Linked DNA regions of Arabidopsis thaliana. The protein of the gene in region 1 interacts with the protein of each later gene in a pairwise test. Each region holds a gene or a part of one and is shown on either strand. Other genes may lie near its edges.

Region 1 (12,289 bases):
CAAACCAGCAGAAAGAATCCTGTCTAGAAGCCATAGGTCTTTGTTGACAAATTATCTGTATCTCTTTCCAAGGAAATAAGTCTCTAAGCATATTCAAATTCCAATTCCTAGAAAAAGGATCAATAAGTTGACTCACTTTCAATTGAATATCAACCATAATCTGCAGACTTTCTGGTCTTCTAGGTTTATCATCGAAAATCCAGTTATCCATCCAGACATAAGTGTTTTCTCCATTTCCAATAATCTTTTTCAGGCCTGAAACTAGTAACTCCCTGCCATATAATATACTTTGCCAGGCATAAGAGGGTCTAGTACCTTTTGTAGCCGAGAGAAAATCTGAATTCATATAGTATCTGCTTTTGAGAATCTGAGATAATAGACTATCTGAATCTGTGTGAAGTCTCGAGGCTTGTTTAGCTAGCAGGGCTTGGTTAAAACACTGTAGATCTTTGAATCCAAATCCTCCAAGGAATTTAGGTAGCATTAATTTTTGAGCTCCAATCCAATGTATTTTCTTCTTATCTTGAACAGAATTCCACCAGAAATCCATCATAACACTAGTTAGCTTTGTGCATAGAGTCTTTGATAACCTGAAACAGGTCATTGCATACACAGGAAATGCCATAGCTATGGATTTTAACAGAATATCTTTCCCTCCTTGAGATAAGGTTTTCGCATACCAACCCGAAAGTCTAGATTGGAGTTTCTCCTTGATGAATCCAAAAAGAACTTGTTTAGAGCCTTGAAAACATTCTGGGAGTCCCAAGTATTTCCCAGTTCCTCCTTCTGTTTGGATGCCTGATCTATTCATGATCCATTGTTTTGTTTCCTCATTCACCTTAGCCCCAAAAGTGATAGCTGATTTCTCCGAATTGATCATCTGCCCTGAAATATGTCCATATTGTGACAGACAATGCATGATCTCTGCACATTCTAACTGAGAAGCCTTGCAAATTAATAGTGTATCATCAGCAAACAGTAAATGATTGACAGATGGTCCGGTTCCATTAAACTGAATTCCAGAAATTTTCCCAATTTTTTCTGCCTGATTTAGGATGTGAATCAAAGCCTCTGTGCATAACACAAACAGAAATGGTGATAACGGGTCACCTTGTCGTAAACCTCTATGAGGAGTAATATGACCAAATGGCTGACCATTAATCAGAACTGAATAAGACACTGAAGATACACAAGCCATCATCCAATTTATCCAAGTACTGTTAAACCCCAAAGCCAAAAGGATTCCTTTAAGAAATGGCCATTCTACTCTGTCATAAGCTTTTGACATGTCCGTTTTAAAGACCATGAAATCCTTTGAGATCTTCTCATTAGTTCTGAGGTTATGAACAATTTCATGTGCAAGAATGATATTATCAGAAACTAACCTCTCTGCCACAAAAGCCGATTGAGTTGGTGAGACTATGACTGGAAGATATTTCTTGAGTCTAGCAGATAAAATTTTTGAGATAATCTTATACATGACTGAGCATAGGCTGATTGGACGAATATCCGCCATTCTAGCTGGTTTTGTTATCTTTGGAATCAGACATAAGTGTGTATGGTTCCAGTCTTCAGGGAGAATACCTGTCTGAAAGAAAAGCTCTATATCTGAAATAATCTGATTCTTGACCAAAGGCCATTGCCTTTGGAAAAAAAGAGCAGTGAAGCCATCAGGACCTGGTGCACTCTCAGCATTGATAGAAAAGACAGCTTTGTAAATTTCTTGTTCATTGACTTTTTTTGTGAGGTCTTGATTCATATCTTCTGTAACTCTTTTGTTAAAACCTTCTAACACTGAATCCATTGAAGAAGGGTAAGATGAAGAAAATAAATCTTCAAAGAAAGTCACTGCAATTTTTCCTTTCTCCCTATTGACTGTTTGTTCATTGCCATTCTCATCTACCAAGAATCTCAGAGAATTTGATACTCTATTGGCTTTTACTGTTGCCTGAAAAAACTTAGAATTCTTGTCTCCACCAACCATCCATTTATCCCTGCTTTTTAATCTCCAAAAATCTTCTTCCTCTCTATAAGCATCACCAAGGACATCTTGAAGAAGAGAAATCTGCGTCCATGATGGGAAGGTAGCACTTTTCTCTTTATCTAACTCCCTTCGTAATTTTGTAATCCGACTTTTGGCATTAAAATCATTCTCTCTTTTCCACTGGCTAATGGCTTTCCTACATTCCACTAGACGAAGCATAACTGAAGAAGATTGATTATCCAGAAAACCATTCCAAGAAACGAGAATAGCTGCAGCACAATTAGGATCCTCAATAAACCGTTTGTCAAATCTGAATTGACCCCTGAAGACTTCCTGATCATTCACAAATTTAACCAGAACTGGTCGATGATCAGAACCTAGTCTTTCAAGAAACCATTGGTGAGAGTTTGGAAACAAAGCAAACCATTATGAGTTCCCAAAACATCGAACTAATTTACATTGGATCCATTCATTATTCCTAGTTCCACCCCAGGAATAACTATTCCCTGTACTCCCCATCACATGTAGATCACAAGCAAAAATCATATCCTGAAAATCCTGAAAGGAAGATTCTAATCTCTTAGGACCACCTATTTTTTCTTTGTTAGATAGAATATCATTAAAATCTCCGATCATACACCAAGCTGATTTTCTTGTCAAACCTATCTCCTTTAATCTGTCCAAAAGGGTATATCTAAGATGCTGTTTGGGATTTCCATAAACACAAGAAACAAACCAGCTTTTACTATCCTGAGAAACCTTCATATCCAGTAAATTCTTATCTTCAAACAAAAACTCTATCTCCAAGTGTTGTTTCCAAAAGATTGCCAAACCACCACTCTTTCCAATCGGTTCAATAGAGTGAAAATAATCATAGCCTAACCATCTGAATATTTTCATAATGAACTGATCAGAATTCATGGTCTCCATGAGGAATAACATGTCTGGGAAATGATCTTTCTTCATTTCCTTTAGATACCGAATTGTCCAAGGATTCCTCAAGCCTTGGCAATTCCAGCTAAGGATGCCTTACTGATACTGCGGTGGTTCATCATGAACCACCGTTTCCTTAACATCCTTGCTACATTCAGATTTAACAGAAGCAACCAAATCCTTTTTCCTTTTGAAAACATTAGGAAATTCAAAGATTTTACTAACCTCTGTATCAATAGCTTTCTCACTAGGCTCCAGAGAGTCCAATTTCTTACGGATCACAACTGCTTTTCTTTTCCTTGGATTTTTCTGTCTAGAACTTAAACCTGATGAGCACGCTTCATTTAAGGCAGAGTTGAATCCCTGATCCAAATCCAGATCCAAATCCAGAATAATTCCTTTAGAACAGTCTTCTTGATAAGCCTTCTCGTGTTCCTGACTCTCTTTAGCTTCTTTTCGAATCTTTTCCACTAAACCAGTAGACTGTACCTCTGAAGGTGTAGACGACATGATTCTTGAATTCAGAAGGTTTGTCTTTGTTGACAAAGCACTGTTTCCTTCTATCCTATCTAAATCTGAACTAGGAAGGGGATGATTTGATTGTGGAAACCTAAGATCAGACTTTTCTTTATCCTCTTTTTTCTCAAAAAAAGACCTTTGAAACCCATCCATGACTGACGATTTTCCTGGCCGACCAGAATCACAATCACCTTTCTCATGAGTTAGTCGTTGGCATAGGAAGCATCTCTTCCTAATTCGTTCATAATCAAAAGTCACAGAAACTATTTCACCCGTTGGAAGCTGAATCTCTTTAAAGTTCCTTAAAGGGTTCCTAACATCGATGATAACCTGAACTCTGATATAGTCTTGTGCTTGAGACTTCTCTAAGTCAAGTTCCACCTTTAAAACTTTCCCCACACAAGATGCTATCTTTTTTATTGTGTCCTGTGTGTAGTAGTTAACTGGAATATTTCTCAGCCTCATCCACACCGGAAGAAACATCAGATACTCTTCCGTCGACTTCTCAATCCAACGTTCCATCACTACACACCATTCATCCTGAGTCCACACTCCTGTTTTCAAAATTTCCAATAGATCATCCTCTGATTTAAAGAAAAATTGAAACCTTTCTTGAGATAAAGCAACACCACGAACCCTGGAATACAATCTCCAAATTCTAGGCATGTCTAAAATCCAATTAGACATCCTTTGATTAGAAGGGTTCAGAAATCTTCCTAAGATACTGCAAGTATTCCTTTCAATCGAACAAAACTGAGCTTGGTTTGACAAAACAAGTGGTTCCTCATCTTTGATTGACATCTCTTGAATCGCTTGATCCAAATCCATACTCATCCCAATAGAATAGAAGAGAGAAAGATTTTCAAGGCAACAGCTGAACTCAAAACTGACAAAAGGTAATCGAAGATTCTTCTGATCCTGGCTCCGCTCTATTAGAATCGATGATTTGAGGGAGAAGTTCTTAAGCCCAATTTGACGGGACGGCGTTAATTACGGCGAGCAAAGTATTATCCAAAAACGACCTCCTAAAAAAGAGAACAGAGAGTTTTTTTTGAGGATTGAGGTATGAGGTATCTAATTGAAAGACGCAAAAGTAATACTATAAGGAAAAAAAAAAAAGAGCATGTTTATGGACCTAATAATATTCGTCTGGGTCGGATCATTTGATTTGGTTGCCTACTAATTATCCGAATGAGACGAAAATGAAATTTGAATGAATGGGCCCTATCCGAGCATAAAATCCGAGTAATTCGGGTCGGGTTTGGGTATTCCATAAAAAGCAACTCTCACACCAATCCGTTGCTCAATCCTCTCTCTCTCTCTCTCAGCTGCCTTCGCGCCGGCGAAGTTTGTCTCTGTGAAAACAGAGAGTGGTAGTGAGAGCGTGAGAAATGTCGAACTTGCTAAGGGATTTCGAGGTGGAGGCTAAGAATCCGTCGCTGGAAGCGCGTCAAAGATGGAGGTCGTCCGTGTCTATCGTGAAGAACCGTACTCGTCGTTTCCGTAACATTCGGGATCTCGATAAGCTCGCTGACTACGAGAACAAGAAGCACCAGATCCAGGTTCCTATTTCTTTGGTTTCTCTATCTCTATTATTCAGTTTTTTTTTTTGCTGTGAGTATGATTTTGATTTTCTTGGTTAAAAGGTTTTATAGAAAATTATTCATTGTGATACTTAAAAGTTAAAACCTTTTGAAGAAGGAATTGATAATGGTTGACCCTGTTAAGCTTTTTTTTCTGCCATTGATGATCCGTACAAAAGGACTTTATCAGAAAGGCGTTACTTGTTTTTTTTCATAGTCTAATCCACACTTTTGCATACGAAACTTTTTTTTTAATTCATGAACTTAAAACTCTTTTTTTCTCGATGCTATGTGTAATCAAAGATTCAAAATACACATTAAAATTTTGCAATTTGCTAATACAAACTCTAGAGAAATATGAATCAAAGGATGATATGGTAAAATATCTAAAGGATGAAATTATTATTCTTTTGGAGCGTTATCTTTTTTGTTCAATTGCGGAAACCGAAGAAAAAAATAATTCAAGTGGCACCACACATGATGCTGACATCAAGTTGTATCTTTGCTTGAGTGTGTGTCCTCTACTGTGTTTACAAATTGGATAATTTCTTGTCGCTACTAGGAAGATGAGCCAATCTTGAGAGGCCAGCAAAAGTCTGACCCTTTTTTTTTTTTTTTGAGTTTTTTTCTCTTCTTAGCGACTGAATCCAAACACCAAAGGACGAAATTTCAGTTTCAAGACTTCTTAGCTTTTTGATACCAGTTTTTCTTTAACTTAAATTCAAATTTGACTTATGGTACGAGGACTTCTTGTGTGCAATAAATTATTAGCTTAAGGACGTTACACACGGAAACTTGGCCAGGTGTATTTTCATAAGGTTCTTTCCACTTGCACAAACCAAATAAAGAAGCATTTTTATGGGATTCTTGTGGATATGATGAGCTCATTGTCTTTTCTTCTTTTTCCTTTTTGGTCTCTACTTATTCGCATTGAAATCGAATCACTTTTCAGTCTTTTTATAAATAAAGCAAATTGTTTTATAACCTAACTGTTGAGTCAAAGAAATTGCAGCTTTAACTTAAAATGTTCTTCACTGTGGCCGGGGGGAATGATTAGCACATAGATGTTATGTTAACCTTTGTTACCAAAGATATTTCAGCTACATTAGCTTTATTTCTCTTTTGTAAGATCAGTGATATAATTGACGTTCCAATGGTGTTTCAGAACCATTCTGTCTTTAAAAAGCAAAATGAAAATTTAAGCAAGCAATGGGTGATGGATCTTTTTACTAATTTGTCCGGCTTATGATGATTGCACCACAGAAACCGTTTGTTCTTTCTTCAGTTTCATGTATGACCAAATATTCCTATGTTGTGCTGTTTTATCTATTAGCTCACTGTCTGTACTCATTATCAGGAAAAGATCCGAGTTGCTTTCTTTGTTCAAAAGGCAGCTCTTCATTTCATTGATGGTAAGATATGCAGCTGCATTTTTTGAGAGATGTATGAAGGCGACTTGGTTTCTACTTTCTATGGTTATGTAAACTTTTCTTTTCTTATTTGTATTTTTCTCTAGCTGCTGCTAGGCCGGAATACAAGCTCACTGATGAGGTTAAGAAAGCCGGATTTTCTATTGAAGCAGATGAACTTGCATCTATGGTTCGCAAAAATGACACTAAGAGCCTGGCACAGAAAGGTGGAGTTGAAGAACTTGCTAAAAAAGTATCTGTATCTCTCTCTGAAGGCATTCGTTCGAGTGAAGTGCCCATTAGGGAAAAGATATTTGGAGAAAATCGTTATACTGAGAAACCAGCCAGATCATTCTTAATGTTTGTGTGGGAAGCGCTCCACGACATAACCCTTATCATTCTTATGGTCTGCGCTGTAGTATCAATAGGTGTGGGTGTTGCTACAGAAGGATTTCCAAGGGGAATGTATGATGGGACAGGGATCTTGCTAAGTATACTCTTGGTGGTCATGGTTACTGCGATCAGTGATTACAAGCAATCTTTGCAGTTCAGAGACTTGGATCGAGAGAAGAAGAAGATTATTGTCCAGGTCACCAGAGATGGGAGCAGACAAGAAATCTCCATTCATGACTTGGTCGTTGGAGATGTAGTTCATCTATCTATTGGGGATCAAGTTCCAGCTGATGGGATTTTTATATCTGGATACAACTTGGAGATAGACGAGTCAAGCTTATCGGGTGAGAGTGAACCGTCACATGTGAATAAAGAGAAGCCTTTTCTGCTTTCAGGAACCAAAGTACAAAACGGTTCTGCAAAAATGCTGGTGACAACAGTTGGTATGAGGACTGAGTGGGGAAAGTTGATGGAAACGCTGGTTGATGGTGGAGAAGATGAGACGCCTCTGCAGGTGAAGCTAAATGGGGTTGCAACAATCATTGGTAAGATTGGTTTAAGCTTTGCTGTGCTTACATTTGTGGTATTGTGCATAAGGTTTGTCTTGGACAAAGCAACGTCTGGTAGCTTCACCAACTGGTCATCTGAAGATGCATTGACGCTACTTGACTACTTTGCAATTTCTGTAACTATCATTGTCGTTGCCGTGCCCGAAGGTTTGCCACTGGCAGTGACCTTAAGTTTGGCATTTGCTATGAAGAAGCTGATGAGTGACAGGGCACTTGTGAGGCATCTTGCTGCATGTGAGACTATGGGTTCTTCTACTTGCATCTGCACTGATAAGACAGGGACCTTAACTACTAATCACATGGTGGTCAACAAAGTATGGATCTGTGATAAGGTTCAAGAGAGGCAAGAGGGAAGTAAAGAAAGCTTTGAGTTGGAACTATCGGAAGAAGTTCAGAGCACTCTTTTGCAGGGTATATTTCAGAACACTGGTTCGGAAGTTGTTAAGGATAAAGATGGAAACACTCAGATCCTAGGATCCCCGACAGAAAGAGCAATACTCGAATTCGGTTTACTTTTAGGTGGTGATTTTAACACGCAGCGTAAAGAGCATAAGATACTCAAGATTGAGCCGTTCAATTCAGACAAGAAGAAAATGTCTGTTCTTATAGCTCTTCCTGGAGGTGGTGCACGGGCTTTCTGCAAAGGGGCATCTGAAATAGTGTTGAAAATGTGTGAGAATGTTGTGGATTCAAACGGAGAATCGGTTCCGCTAACTGAAGAACGGATTACGAGTATCTCTGATATCATAGAGGGTTTTGCCTCAGAGGCTCTGAGGACTCTCTGCTTGGTTTACAAAGATCTAGATGAAGCTCCCAGTGGAGAGCTCCCTGATGGAGGCTATACAATGGTAGCAGTTGTTGGAATCAAGGATCCAGTACGTCCGGGTGTTAGGGAAGCCGTTCAGACTTGTCAAGCTGCCGGAATCACCGTCCGTATGGTCACTGGAGATAACATAAGCACAGCCAAAGCAATTGCTAAGGAATGTGGCATATATACCGAAGGAGGCTTAGCTATAGAAGGTTCAGAATTCCGGGACTTGTCTCCTCACGAAATGAGGGCCATTATCCCCAAAATTCAGGTCCTTTGATATATGATAGATAGAATGAATTGTTATTGTTTATCTGTCTATTGAAAATGTTTAAGTATCTCTAAAATTCCTTGTTTCTGCCTTTAGGTAATGGCTCGGTCTCTGCCATTGGACAAACATACTTTAGTCAGCAACTTGAGGAAAATTGGAGAGGTAGTTGCAGTGACAGGGGATGGGACAAACGATGCCCCTGCGTTGCATGAGGCAGACATTGGACTAGCAATGGGAATAGCTGGAACAGAGGTAAGCTATAGTTATTCTCTGTTATTGGTTTGGTTAATAAAAAAATCTCGAGATTAACATTTTCGTTTGGTGCTAATTCCCGATATGCAGGTTGCGAAAGAGAATGCTGATGTGATCATAATGGACGATAACTTCAAAACAATAGTAAATGTGGCTAGATGGGGACGTGCTGTATATATAAACATTCAGAAGTTTGTTCAGTTCCAGCTAACTGTTAATGTGGTTGCTCTGATCATCAACTTTGTCTCTGCTTGCATCACAGGTACGACAGAAAAACCAATCAAACACCATCTTTCTTCTAGCGTTTGGTCAAATATAGTAACCATTTCTTTTGGTTTCTTTTCCAGGATCTGCTCCACTCACTGCTGTGCAACTGCTTTGGGTCAACATGATCATGGACACACTTGGTGCATTGGCTCTAGCAACAGAACCTCCCAATGAAGGTTTAATGAAACGTGCACCAATAGCTAGAACCGCCAGCTTTATCACCAAAACCATGTGGAGAAACATCGCTGGTCAAAGCGTTTACCAGTTGATTGTCTTAGGAATTCTCAATTTCGCAGGCAAATCACTTCTCAAACTAGATGGCCCTGACTCCACAGCCGTTCTTAACACAGTCATCTTCAACTCCTTCGTCTTTTGCCAGGTACCATTCGCAAACAAAAACCAACCCAACTCTTATATAAAAGATAAGTAACAAGAGAATCAAACGGTGTACAAACAGGTGTTCAATGAGATCAATAGCCGGGAAATAGAGAAGATAAATGTGTTCAAAGGAATGTTCAATAGCTGGGTGTTCACTTGGGTAATGACTGTGACGGTAGTGTTTCAAGTGATCATAGTGGAGTTTCTTGGAGCATTTGCTAGCACCGTTCCTCTGAGCTGGCAACATTGGTTACTATCAATCTTGATAGGATCATTGAACATGATTGTAGCCGTTATCCTCAAATGCGTACCTGTCGAGTCTCGTCACCATCACGATGGCTACGACCTGCTTCCTTCTGGTCCTTCTTCTTCCAACTCTGCCTGATACCGTTTCTATGTTCACTTTTTTTTTGTTTTCCGGGTAGGAGTACACAAATATGTAAGTTTTCTATTTTTGCTACTTCAAATTCTTTTTTTTTATACCACGAATGGAATTTTGTTTTCGACTTACTCCAATACTCTAATACGATTTTGCAATAAATTTTGCATTTTAATTGAATGTTATCTATCAAGAGCTGTGCTAAGTATTAGAAAATCTAGAGAGATGCTTTGATTAGTAGATTCTCAAGAATTTATGATCAGAACATCTACCTTTTTTCGTATAAATATAAATCTATATTGTTTTTGATAAAAGTTATAGTAGCATCTAATTAGATTTGTGACATGTATAATGCCAGTATTTATCCTTGTCGTAGGTGAGTCTATAATGTTGAATCAGAACGCTTACGTAAAGTATAAACATAATAAAACGCAATTGTGAAAATAGAATGACATATTATTCTCTGGATGACATGTTAAATCAAATCATATAGCATAATAAAATAGAAGAATTTTCCTCTATCTCACATCAATGTACATGAAGCTTTCGTTTCTGTATATACACGTAAATAAAACATCGGAAAAAGATGGAAAGAACACCAACTTTGCTTCTCCAATACATGAAACTTTAACAAAAACAAAAAAGAACACCAACTTTCCTTAAAATGCTTTTATAAAAGTAAAATATTCATGCATAATTTACTTGAAACTTTTCGACACTTTCATTTATTTATTGAAGTTAAAGAAGTTGGTCACGCGTATGAAATCTTTGGAAAAGCAATAACTGTACGGACGTCACTCTCAGATGTTAAGTTCAATAAGCAAAAGAATAGCGGGACCCTTCGGTTTTCCACTTTATTACGATTGTGCCATCTGACTCGTCATTTACTCCTAGCCGTCCGATGAAAAAGGCAGAATCTGGAGAGTGTACAGTAACTCGAAAACACAGGAACATATATTCGCATTTATACAGTACGAGTCAAATAAAAGTCAATGAATCTGACGGTTGAGATTTTCAGTTGGACGAAGAGTGGTCCCCATGAGTTAATAAAACGGCTTAGTTTGGTATCCACGCGCCTCCGTTGGTTTATCCATTTGTAGCAAACCCGTTCACCGTTTGAACCGACCTCTTTCTCTCTCTCTACACTCTACTCTAAATACTGCAGAGTGTTTTGTTCGTCGCTTTCACTGCCAGCCTTTTTTTTTCTCTCTCTCACTAAATTCTCTCGCCGACCTTCTTCAAACCCTAGAAAAACGCTTAATTTCTGGAAGATCCATCGACGAAGCTCACAACGGTATGGTTAGAACTTTGGGTGTTCTTGTGATTGTGCTTCTTAGTGAGAATTGCTTTGGAGATTTTGGAAATGTGGGTGAAAAGGCTGATTTTTTTTTACAGAATGAATTTTGAGGCTTATCGTAGTGAGTGACCACCATGGATGATGATGATGATCTCTGGGGTCCGCCACGAGGTAAATCTGGTTGGATCAATTATGGTATCTACTGTTTTTTTTTTTTTTGGTCTTGATGATGCAAAGTTTGTGTTCTTTTAGTTTTTGTAGTTGTGCAAGACGATACCTTTCGTAAACAGACCGTACGTCGTTGTGAATTTTGGTTCGATTTCAGAACAGGTATACACTGGATTTTGGTTTAATTGTTGTTATGATTCTCTTTTGAGAACAATCGTTTGTTGCTTTTTTTAGATGTGCTCGAAGAAAATTTCCAGAACGAAAAGTATTGTGAGCTAGTTTGGAGGATATTGACAGAGAAGAAGAGGCAAGTTACTGAAATTGCTGAGCTTGAGAGGGTTTCAGTTTCAGTATCGGCTCAAAATGATACGGCTTCCTCTGGGAGTGGTGGTGACTTGCATGAGATAGACTCTTCTGATTCTGTAAGAGACTTTAAGAAATATTTGATTTTGATTTTGTATTCACTACAGATTTTGACTAGGAGTAACTTGTTATGTCTTCTACAGGATAAGACTCTCAGTACTACTCTTCCAGATTCTGATACTAGTTCTGCTAAACTGGCTCTTGATGACGACGAAAACACTTCTAGTATCAGCGATGCTCAGACTGCTCAAACTGTTCAGATCAGAGATTCTAGTAACGACGACACTGAAGATATAGAGCCTGAAACAAGATTGATGCCTCATGAGACAGCAGCTAATGATCCACTAACAGTTGAGGTCTGTCGAGTTTTCTTAATCCTTTGTCATGCATCCATGGGAATCTTGTATCATGGAACTTTGTGTTTTTTTTATGATAGGTTGCAGAAGATGCAGATACCTCTTCTAGCCCTGTGTTGGAAAGCAAGATTGACGAAGCTGAAGAACATTCTTGTTCATCCTTGGTTACTGACCAAGTCTTTGATCCTATAAAGCAAGCCCTCGAGAACAAATCTTCATCTGCTATAAGCCGTGAGAGTATTGGAGGTTCCACACTGAGACCATTGCATTTAGAGACCCGGGAGAAGGCAAATACTACAGACGAAGATGGAGATATATTGAAGGATCACCAGCAAAACGATAGCTTGCAAGACATTGTAA
Region 2 (8,370 bases), on another chromosome or scaffold:
TCTGCGTCTACCATTGATGATGTTCCCCAATACACCGGCTGATTGACAAAAAGTTTCACAAATCAACATCAATATTATTGTTAAAATAATCTTTAAAAAATTGTTTATACAAATTTAAGCCTTTTAAATTTGTTAGATTTATTGAATTTAGATTTGTTGTCGCTTTTAACTTGAAAATTAGTTAGAATATCTAGAAACTTAATAAACATAAAAAGCATTCCTACGCCCTTTTTCAGTTTATATAACATCTAGAAATTTTATATTGAGATGCATTTTGAAACTGTTCTATGTATTGTTCATTTGTTCTTACAAAAGTTGAGAATAGTCTATCTTTGAATATTATTAACATGATTAAAGAAATGTATTTATGGTAGAATAATATCAAATGGGTTCATGCCTTAATGGACCATTATGCAATTGTCGAATCAAGATCAATGCACGTGCCATGTGAAAAAACCAACCTGTCAAATCGAAGAGATATGTTTGGAAAAGTATAGTGATGTGTTTTTGGAAAACTAGTGATATAATTTCTGATTAGTAGTATACTGATCATATATAGGGGTACCTAAATAGGTTTATTTAAGAAAAGAGAAAGATATAATTAACAAACTAAAGCTGTTATTATCACCTGACTTGGGATTCTTCTTGAATAGAAGACGGAAGTTTCGGGGAAAGAATCTTGAAAAGATGGATTAGTATGAACATATATGGAATAAAACCCTTCATGTCCTTCAAAGAACTTTTCCCACAAGCCAGCCAATGGGAGTCTTCCACCTGTCATGAACATGAAAGCCACCTTCACAGCCATCTTCCCATCATTATTATGTCTCCTCCCTAACCATGATGATGACGATAAGGATGATGTTGGTGATGATAATGACGAGGCCTTGGTGAAGAGTTCTTGATCACTCATGTTGTGTTGAAGTACTTGTAGTTGCAACTCTTGTTTGATATCCATCTCTGTGGTGTGGACCGTGTGGTTGAATAATAAGGTAGACCATAAGGGTTGTCGTTGTGTCGTCGTCGTAGACATGTGTACGGCTTTTAGTTGCAGACAAAGGAAGAGACCAACCGAGAAACCGAATACAAAAAAGAGTGAGCTTAAGACATAACTTCCCTTTTGTAAGAGAATCAATCTCAAGGGCTTTGTGATCATTGGGTACTGTTCTTCTTCTTTCTTGCTCTTATGATCACTAATGCTCATTGTAGAGATAGAGAGGGAGAGGGAGAGAGAGAAAAAGAGAGAGAGAGGTTGTTGTGATCGTTAAGGATTTTGCAACCAGTTGTTATAAATGTGTTATTACAAGTTGTATAAGAAAAAACAAGGTTTTTGGAGTGTATTGGACAACGTCAAAAGGAGCTCTCTTGCAAGTTATATAAATGTATATTAAAAGAGTAGACTTTGGAACGAAGACGTGACCTGTTGACTTTTAGTTGTTCTCAGGTCAATATATGTATATAACGATCATGTGTTAGATACAAAACTTAGGTTTTAGATCTTAACATTTACACGATTTGACGAAATTTTATCTTGCCCATAGGACGGAGTGTAGTAAGAGATTGCAATTTCAAGTAAGGGTGATGATATGTTGTCAAAATAAGCTAAGGGTGGCATGTTGTCAAAATATGTTTTTTTTTCTGTTGCTGTTGAAAATATGAATATTTGAATCTAATCTTAATTTAACCGAATCACATTGAACACCTTGGTGAGAGGTGGATATAACCGAGCAGTTCTGTATTTCAAACCTATACTTGAATGATCTATTGAATTGTTTATCTGTGTGCGTGGGTTCAATTTTGTCTAATTTTTCTTTTTGAAAGTCTAACTTAAACCGAACCAATACAATAGCAAATTAAATAACTCAAACCAAAATAATATCAAATAAAAAAACTAACCTGATTACTCCAAAGTTAAGGAATTCTTCATAAATAACCTGGACGAGTTAATTATTCAAAATGTTGCAGTACTGAGATGGAAGAGAGTGCGAAATGTTCGGTGCTGACCCACAAACCATGGAAGGAACAATATTTCATGCCTAACTTTAGGTGCACTTGACGACACATTGCCAGAACCTTCTTTTTGTTGCTAAATAGTCAAATATGAAGTTTTGATTACAAAAATCATTAATACAGAGAGTAAGCGTTGCGGTCGTGATCGGCATGCTAGATTAGTGGATTTTTAAAGGTCGTAAGGTCTAATTACATTGCTTAGTCAAGGCACAAAAGTAATTAAAGACCAAGCTTGAGAGTTTTACTTGTACTCAAAGCTGTTAGACATAGACCATTTATTTTCGGCACGATCTATGATACATTAATTAAGATTTCTCATTAATATAGTAACTCACTAACGCCAAAAATTCCAAAACAATTGGGTGTAATTGATAATTAGAGAAAGTGTTAGGTCAATTATGTATTAGTTCAAAACATTCGGGTAGTTAGTTAAACTAGCATAATATTTTAGGGTAATTTCGGTATTTAATCCCCCAACAAAAAGGAAAGGAAAGTTTCCGACGTCGGTTTCTTAACATTCTCAAAGTTGCCGACGGAGAAGCCATGGCGACGACGAGGACAAACGAGGAAATTGACAGAGAAGCAGAGGAGAATCGAAAAGAAGCTCTATTAGCTTCAACACTATCTCTTCAACCCAATTTTAATCGATCCAACCTCACCCAGAAACAAATTTCCAAATTACAGGTCAGATTCTTTGCCTCGACTTTTAATGTTTCTGATCTTCAGATATCCCAATGAGATTGTAAGCACGACTTCGTATAATCATCTTGATTCGAATTTCTATCAACTGTTCAATCCAGTTTTTTTTTTTTTTCTTTCAACCGAATTACTATGTACATAGCAATTTGAATTTGAAGCCATTTTGGTTGTGTTGAGATTACAGGAGCTACACAAGAGACGTATGCAAATAAAAGCTAATGCAAAGATTCATAAGAAGAAACCTAAAGGTATATATATATTTAGCTCTCTTTTTTTGAGAATTCTCAGTTCATATTCACTAGACTAAAAGCTCTACACTGAAATGCAGCGAGCAAGAATTCTCAGAGTAAAGCGATCGAAGATGGCGAAAGCTCTAAAAAGTTGAAAGAACCAACTTCTTCTTCTTCTTCTACCTTAGAAGAACAGAATCATAACAAGACAGTAGTCACAGTACCGAAGAAGCCACAAAAACTGTTTTGGGGGTGAGCTTATTTCGCTAATTTTAGAATTCTTTTTCATATTGAGAAAACCGTGCTAATGCCATGCTTTTTTTGTTTTGAAACAGGCTAGATACCAGGGAGAGGTGGGAAAGGAAAGCCAACATGTAGTGGTCATGAAAAGATTTCTCGTTATTGATAACGTCGTCCATTGTACAATTTAAGAGTAGCAGATTAGAGAAAGACTCACAAACTAAATGATGAAACAAACTGGTTTTTGTTCTGCTGATTTCTTTTGTTTAATTTCAAGCTCCAGATGTAAGAGCAAGCTCTATTTCCTCCAGTGATCGACCTTTAGTCTCGACGACGTTTCCTGCAATGTAGAGGACCGCAAGGACGCAGACTCCAGCAAAACCCAAGTAGACACTGCTGATTCCGAATTTAGTCACAACGCTTAAGAAGTATAGTCCGATCACAAAGTTTGATATCTGTTAGGGCAAAAGAGAAACAAAACATTAGAAACAGAGAGAAGAAACTCTGTTCTGAACCCATAAAACCTATAGATATATGTATATACCCAGTGCATGCCGAGAGAAAGAGCGACGGCTTTTGCTCTGATTCGGGATGCAAATATCTCTGGAAGAAGAAGAGCCGGTACCGGGCCAGCACCAAGTGAGAATGACAGGACATATCTGATTTAAACAACCGAGCATAAGAGTCAGTCAAGTCCTATACAGAGAGACTATAAGGAAGTGTTAAGAGGAGATTGACTTACAGAACAGTTCCAACAACGGCAAGGGTTCCAGAATAGGCAGCAAGAGCCTTCCATGTGAAGGACAAGGAGAGTAACAGCATTGACAAAGCCTTTTCAATACAAAACCATAAAATCCAAGTTAGTCCTGTTGTGGTAATACTAATGAGGGTTGAGATTTTCGAATATGGCTAAGAATTTTAATAAAAACATGTACCATTCCACCAAAGCTTGTCAGTAAAAGACTTTTCCTTCCCATTTTATCCATCAACGATGAAGCAACAGCAGTGCCTGCGACCAGATTTTTATCGTGTTATTTTTTTGGTTATTTTTGGAATTTAATGAGAACATAACGGGGAAACGAACCAAAGACATTTGATGCTCCAACGAGAGCACTGGCTGCAACATCTGATTGGATTCCCGCACTACGGAATACCGATGTGGAGTAATACACAACTGCGTTTATCCCGGCTAACTGTTGAAACAAGAAGAGAGCCGCACCTACGCTTACAACTACAACAAGAACAGACAAGAAACTATGTAAATTGATCAATCCGATATGACCTTTGAAAGGAATCCGTCAGCTTTTATTACAAACTAAACAATGTATCTCCACCAAGTCTTGCTATACCTTTCCAGTAGCGGCTGCTGAATAGATCAAACCATCCTGCCTCCGGCTCAGAAGAACCTTGGCCAGAGGCTGATAAGTCGCGAACTAGTTCAACCACTCTTTCTTTACCATACAAAGTTTTGATCGCCTTTTCAGCTTCAGAGACTTTTCCTTGCTGCAAAATTGATTTCCTTGACTTGTCAAAAATTGATCTCATTTTAAGTGTTGAGATCTGTTCCTTGAGAGTACCTGAACGAGCCACCTTGGGCTTTCTGGAGAAAAAGCCATTCCTATGGCCAATAGAACGGAAGGGATAACTGCAACACCAAACATCGTCCTCCACCTAGAAGACCACGATATCAAAACTTATCACAGTATGCAACCCAAAATAAAAGATGATGAATAAAAAAGGGATGTTACATACCATAGAGGGTTTGCTGCAAGGGGTAATCCAGCTATCAAGGCTGCAAGTATTCCTATACAGATGAACAACTGGTTCACAGATCCGAGTGCTCCACGGATTTCAGTTGGTGATATCTGACAACCATCATCAAACGCTTCAGAGACATAACATATAAACAAATCTAACATCTTATGCTAAAAGTGCAAAAATAATGAAAATCAGTATTTAAACAACCTCAGATATGTAAAGTGGTACAATCGCTGATGAGATTCCAATTCCAATTCCAGCGAGCAGACGTCCCACAATCATAGTCTGCACACTCTGAGCTGTTGCACTAATCAATAAAAAAAGAACCAATGCGTTAAGAAATCAATTAACGTCTCACCAATAGGTATGGCTTAGTGCTTGAAAATTTACCATAAGAAAGCTCCAATGGCAAGCGGGATAGCATCCAATTGAAAAGTTCTTGTTCGTCCAAATTTGTCAGCTAATGCACCTCCAGTGAATGAACCTACCGTAGCACCAGCAAGCAGAGAACTAACAATCCATCCTGCTCAACACCAATCATAGAGAATACCAATTATGAGTTTGGCTACTAATCAAAACACGAATCATTTTACCGTTGACAGGAGGAGTAAAGAAGTGGATCATCATATACTTGCCTTGCAAAACAGTATTTTCGGCGATCCCAAGATCCTTAGCAAGATATTCAAGAGCACCATTAACCACCCTGATTCAGTCCAATAGAACATCATCATCCATGATCACACCAAGATAAAAACAGTGTAGTATTTAGTCATACCCGAGATGATAACCAAAGAGTATAGCACCAAGACAAGCAACACCAACAAAAGGCAAAACTGTTCCAGAGCTTTTCCCTTCAGATCTCAGAGGTATAGCTTCTTCTTCATCTCCATCTACATTTCATTCCTCAAACCATCAGATGATTAGTCCAAATCCCAAACTATACATTAGATTCTTCAAATTGTATTTAAGAACTTGTAAGCAATCACAGAATCTAATGATAGACAAAGATAGAAGAGCATTAGAAGAGACGAACCAGATGAGGCTTGAGCTCTGACCGATCGAGCTTTGACAGAAGAGAAACTCATAACGCTCTGGATCCCGTTATCAGCACGAGCAAGCGTCGCTCCCATGGCTTCAGAACCAGAACAGTAGAGTGGCCCGGTGGTGGCTAAGCTCTTATAACCAGCGAAGCGAATTCCGGTAGAAGTCGTCGATCTGTCAGAAGAGAAGGTCCGTCTCTGAAACGCAAACGCAGCGTTTCCTTTAACCGCATACGTTGACGACTGCATTTTGTCTGACTTTTTATAACCGTAATTGCAAGGAAACGAGAAATATTAGGCAAGGAAGGAAAAAAAAGGATCGCATTTATACCAAACAGAACTCAAAAAGAGAGAAGTAAGGAACGATGAAGACGCAACATCACGAAATTGGGAAATATGTTGCATTGATGCGAACGAGAGAGTAAAAACGCTCTTCTCGATCGCGGCTGATTAACAAAAATCGTGATATCCAAAGCAAAACTTCAGATTTGAAAATTACCAGAGAAACTTCGGAGACTCCGCGATTTGAGAGAGAGGATAGTGAGGGCTTAAACCAGATAGATTGTGATTGCTGAGAAGAACTCACTGTGGAGCTTATTGTCGTTTAAAAAAAAAAATTAAAACGCACCAAAAAATAAATAATGCAATTTTGTTTCCTTATTAGTTTTGGATTTTTGTGTAATAATTCATATTTATCCAAAACCATACGGAAAATAGAGTATTTTCATTTCTTATTTTAAAGAAATCATGAAATTTAATGCATGTGATGCAACTTTCAATTTTGGATTGGTAATTTTGTAATATTTGCTAGGAAATTTGAATAAATCAACCAGTATCAACTAAATCGAACTAAGTGGCGGGACTAATTAGGAAATTTTTTTGAGTTTATAAATTGAGAAAATTATTTACAATTATTATTCGACATAAATTAGTCGATAAAAGGGTAAGAAAAAAAGAAGTAAAAGAGTTACGTAAGAGCCGCAGGATTGGCGATTTGGCAACGTTGGATTTTCTGGATTAGATTTTGGATGACGTATATAGCCGCACGTGTTATTCAATAGTACTCACGTGCCGCCATTGAGCATAGTAACGGTGACGTATAAAAATCATAGTAACTTGGGCCACTATTATTTAACCCATCATTTTTGTGGGCTAATATTAGTAAGCCCATTAATACAAAACGGGACCAATTTCTAACATCTTCGTCTCAGTATTTCATCGTTCTACTTCTATCTCGTTCCAACGTCTTCGCAAAAGAAAATTCCGAAATTGTTTCGAAAAATCCTGAAGAAGAAGAGGTAAGCTATTTTCCTTCTCACTTATCCTTCTTCTACTGAAAATTTATAACATAATATAAACCACAAATACATTTTTGTGTAATCCTTGTAGCTCATTGCTAATCTCTGATTCTCCAGAAATTTTGCTGAGTCCTCTGTTCGATTACACTTCAATTATTTTTTATCTGCGCTGTATCTCTGTTAATGGGTTTCATTAAGTTTTGATTCTCAGTTGTTATATGATTTCGAATTTCATTATATCCTGAAAAGCTTTTATCTTTATGTATATTCCAAGTATTGAATCTCAAAGTTTCTAGTCATTTCAATTTCAATAGGTCTTTGAATCAACAACAGTTCCATGTTGTGCCCAACGTATACACCAAGTGTTTACCATTTTCAAACGCAAAAGCCAGTTTTCCGGAAACAGAGGTTTCGGGTTTGTTCATCTACTTCTGGTGGTGAGGATGATAGATTCAAAGTAGAGTACACTCCTTGGCTTATCGTTGGGTTGGGCAATCCAGGAAACAAGTATCATGGAACAAGACACAATGTAATGATACACAATCTTTTTCTTTTACTTAATTGCTGGATTTGATCTTGGCAATGCTACAACTTTGTGTTGTTTTCAGGTTGGTTTCGAGATGATCGATGTGTTGGCTAGAAAAGAAGGGGTGTTGATGAACACTATACAGTCCAAAGCTCTAATCGGAATAGGTTCTACTTCTCTTGCTTTGGTTCTTTGGTTTGAAGAATAATAAAACTGATGACTTTTTGGTTCTATGTATGAATCAGTACAGGTGCTATTGAAGATGTACCTATCTTGTTGGCTAAACCTCAGACTTATATGAACTTCAGCGGCGAATCGGTTTGTATTTTCTGTTCATAACTTTGCAAAGATCAGCTGCGTGATCAAATAATCATCATACCTGAAACTGTTCTGTTGTCGTTTTAAAGGTTGGATCTCTAGCTTCACACTATCGAGTACCATTGCGCCACATTTTAATGGTAAAGTCACTGACTTAAGCATCCCTTGAATCCAGAACTATGTTCCATATGAACACTTTTGTTTCTCTCTACTAGATTTACGATGAGATGGCTTTACCAAATGGGGTTTTG

Evidence for each region.
Region 2: the proteins of ACA4 (region 1) and PGLCT interact in a protein complementation assay, tested with the Arabidopsis thaliana proteins (one large-scale study listed by BioGRID).

What each region holds. Positions count from the first base shown.
Region 1 is NC_003071.7:17,329,718-17,342,006, reverse strand, and holds ACA4 (autoinhibited Ca(2+)-ATPase), read left to right. Parts: upstream 1-4,514; 5' UTR 4,515-4,827; coding exon 4,828-4,998; exon of another isoform or gene 4,999-6,376; coding exon 6,377-6,431; intron 6,432-6,535; coding exon 6,536-8,469; intron 8,470-8,565; coding exon 8,566-8,721; intron 8,722-8,811; coding exon 8,812-8,983; intron 8,984-9,068; coding exon 9,069-9,367; intron 9,368-9,445; coding exon 9,446-9,751; 3' UTR 9,752-9,957; downstream 9,958-12,289. Other genes in the region: AT2G41550 (Rho termination factor), read left to right, coding at 11,177-11,213, 11,295-11,372, 11,445-11,632, 11,717-11,929, 12,010-12,289. UniProt on the Arabidopsis thaliana protein: This magnesium-dependent enzyme catalyzes the hydrolysis of ATP coupled with the translocation of calcium from the cytosol into small vacuoles.
Region 2 is NC_003076.8:5,270,760-5,279,129, reverse strand, and holds PGLCT (plastidic GLC translocator), read right to left. Parts: upstream 6,655-8,370; 5' UTR 6,477-6,654; exon of another isoform or gene 6,236-6,476; 5' UTR 6,227-6,235; coding exon 5,971-6,226; intron 5,828-5,970; coding exon 5,713-5,827; intron 5,641-5,712; coding exon 5,573-5,640; intron 5,461-5,572; coding exon 5,328-5,460; intron 5,245-5,327; coding exon 5,145-5,244; intron 5,045-5,144; coding exon 4,932-5,044; intron 4,851-4,931; coding exon 4,757-4,850; intron 4,683-4,756; coding exon 4,529-4,682; intron 4,411-4,528; coding exon 4,264-4,410; intron 4,189-4,263; coding exon 4,115-4,188; intron 4,011-4,114; coding exon 3,922-4,010; intron 3,839-3,921; coding exon 3,724-3,838; intron 3,635-3,723; coding exon 3,452-3,634; 3' UTR 3,318-3,451; downstream 1-3,317. Other genes in the region: AT5G16170 (Core-2/I-branching beta-1,6-N-acetylglucosaminyltransferase family protein), read right to left, coding at 1-38, 629-1,204; AT5G16160 (uncharacterized protein), read left to right, coding at 2,554-2,694, 2,894-2,957, 3,038-3,191, 3,275-3,317; AT5G16140 (Peptidyl-tRNA hydrolase family protein), read left to right, coding at 7,613-7,804, 7,884-7,968, 8,052-8,119, 8,209-8,259, 8,335-8,370. UniProt on the Arabidopsis thaliana protein: May be involved in the efflux of glucose towards the cytosol.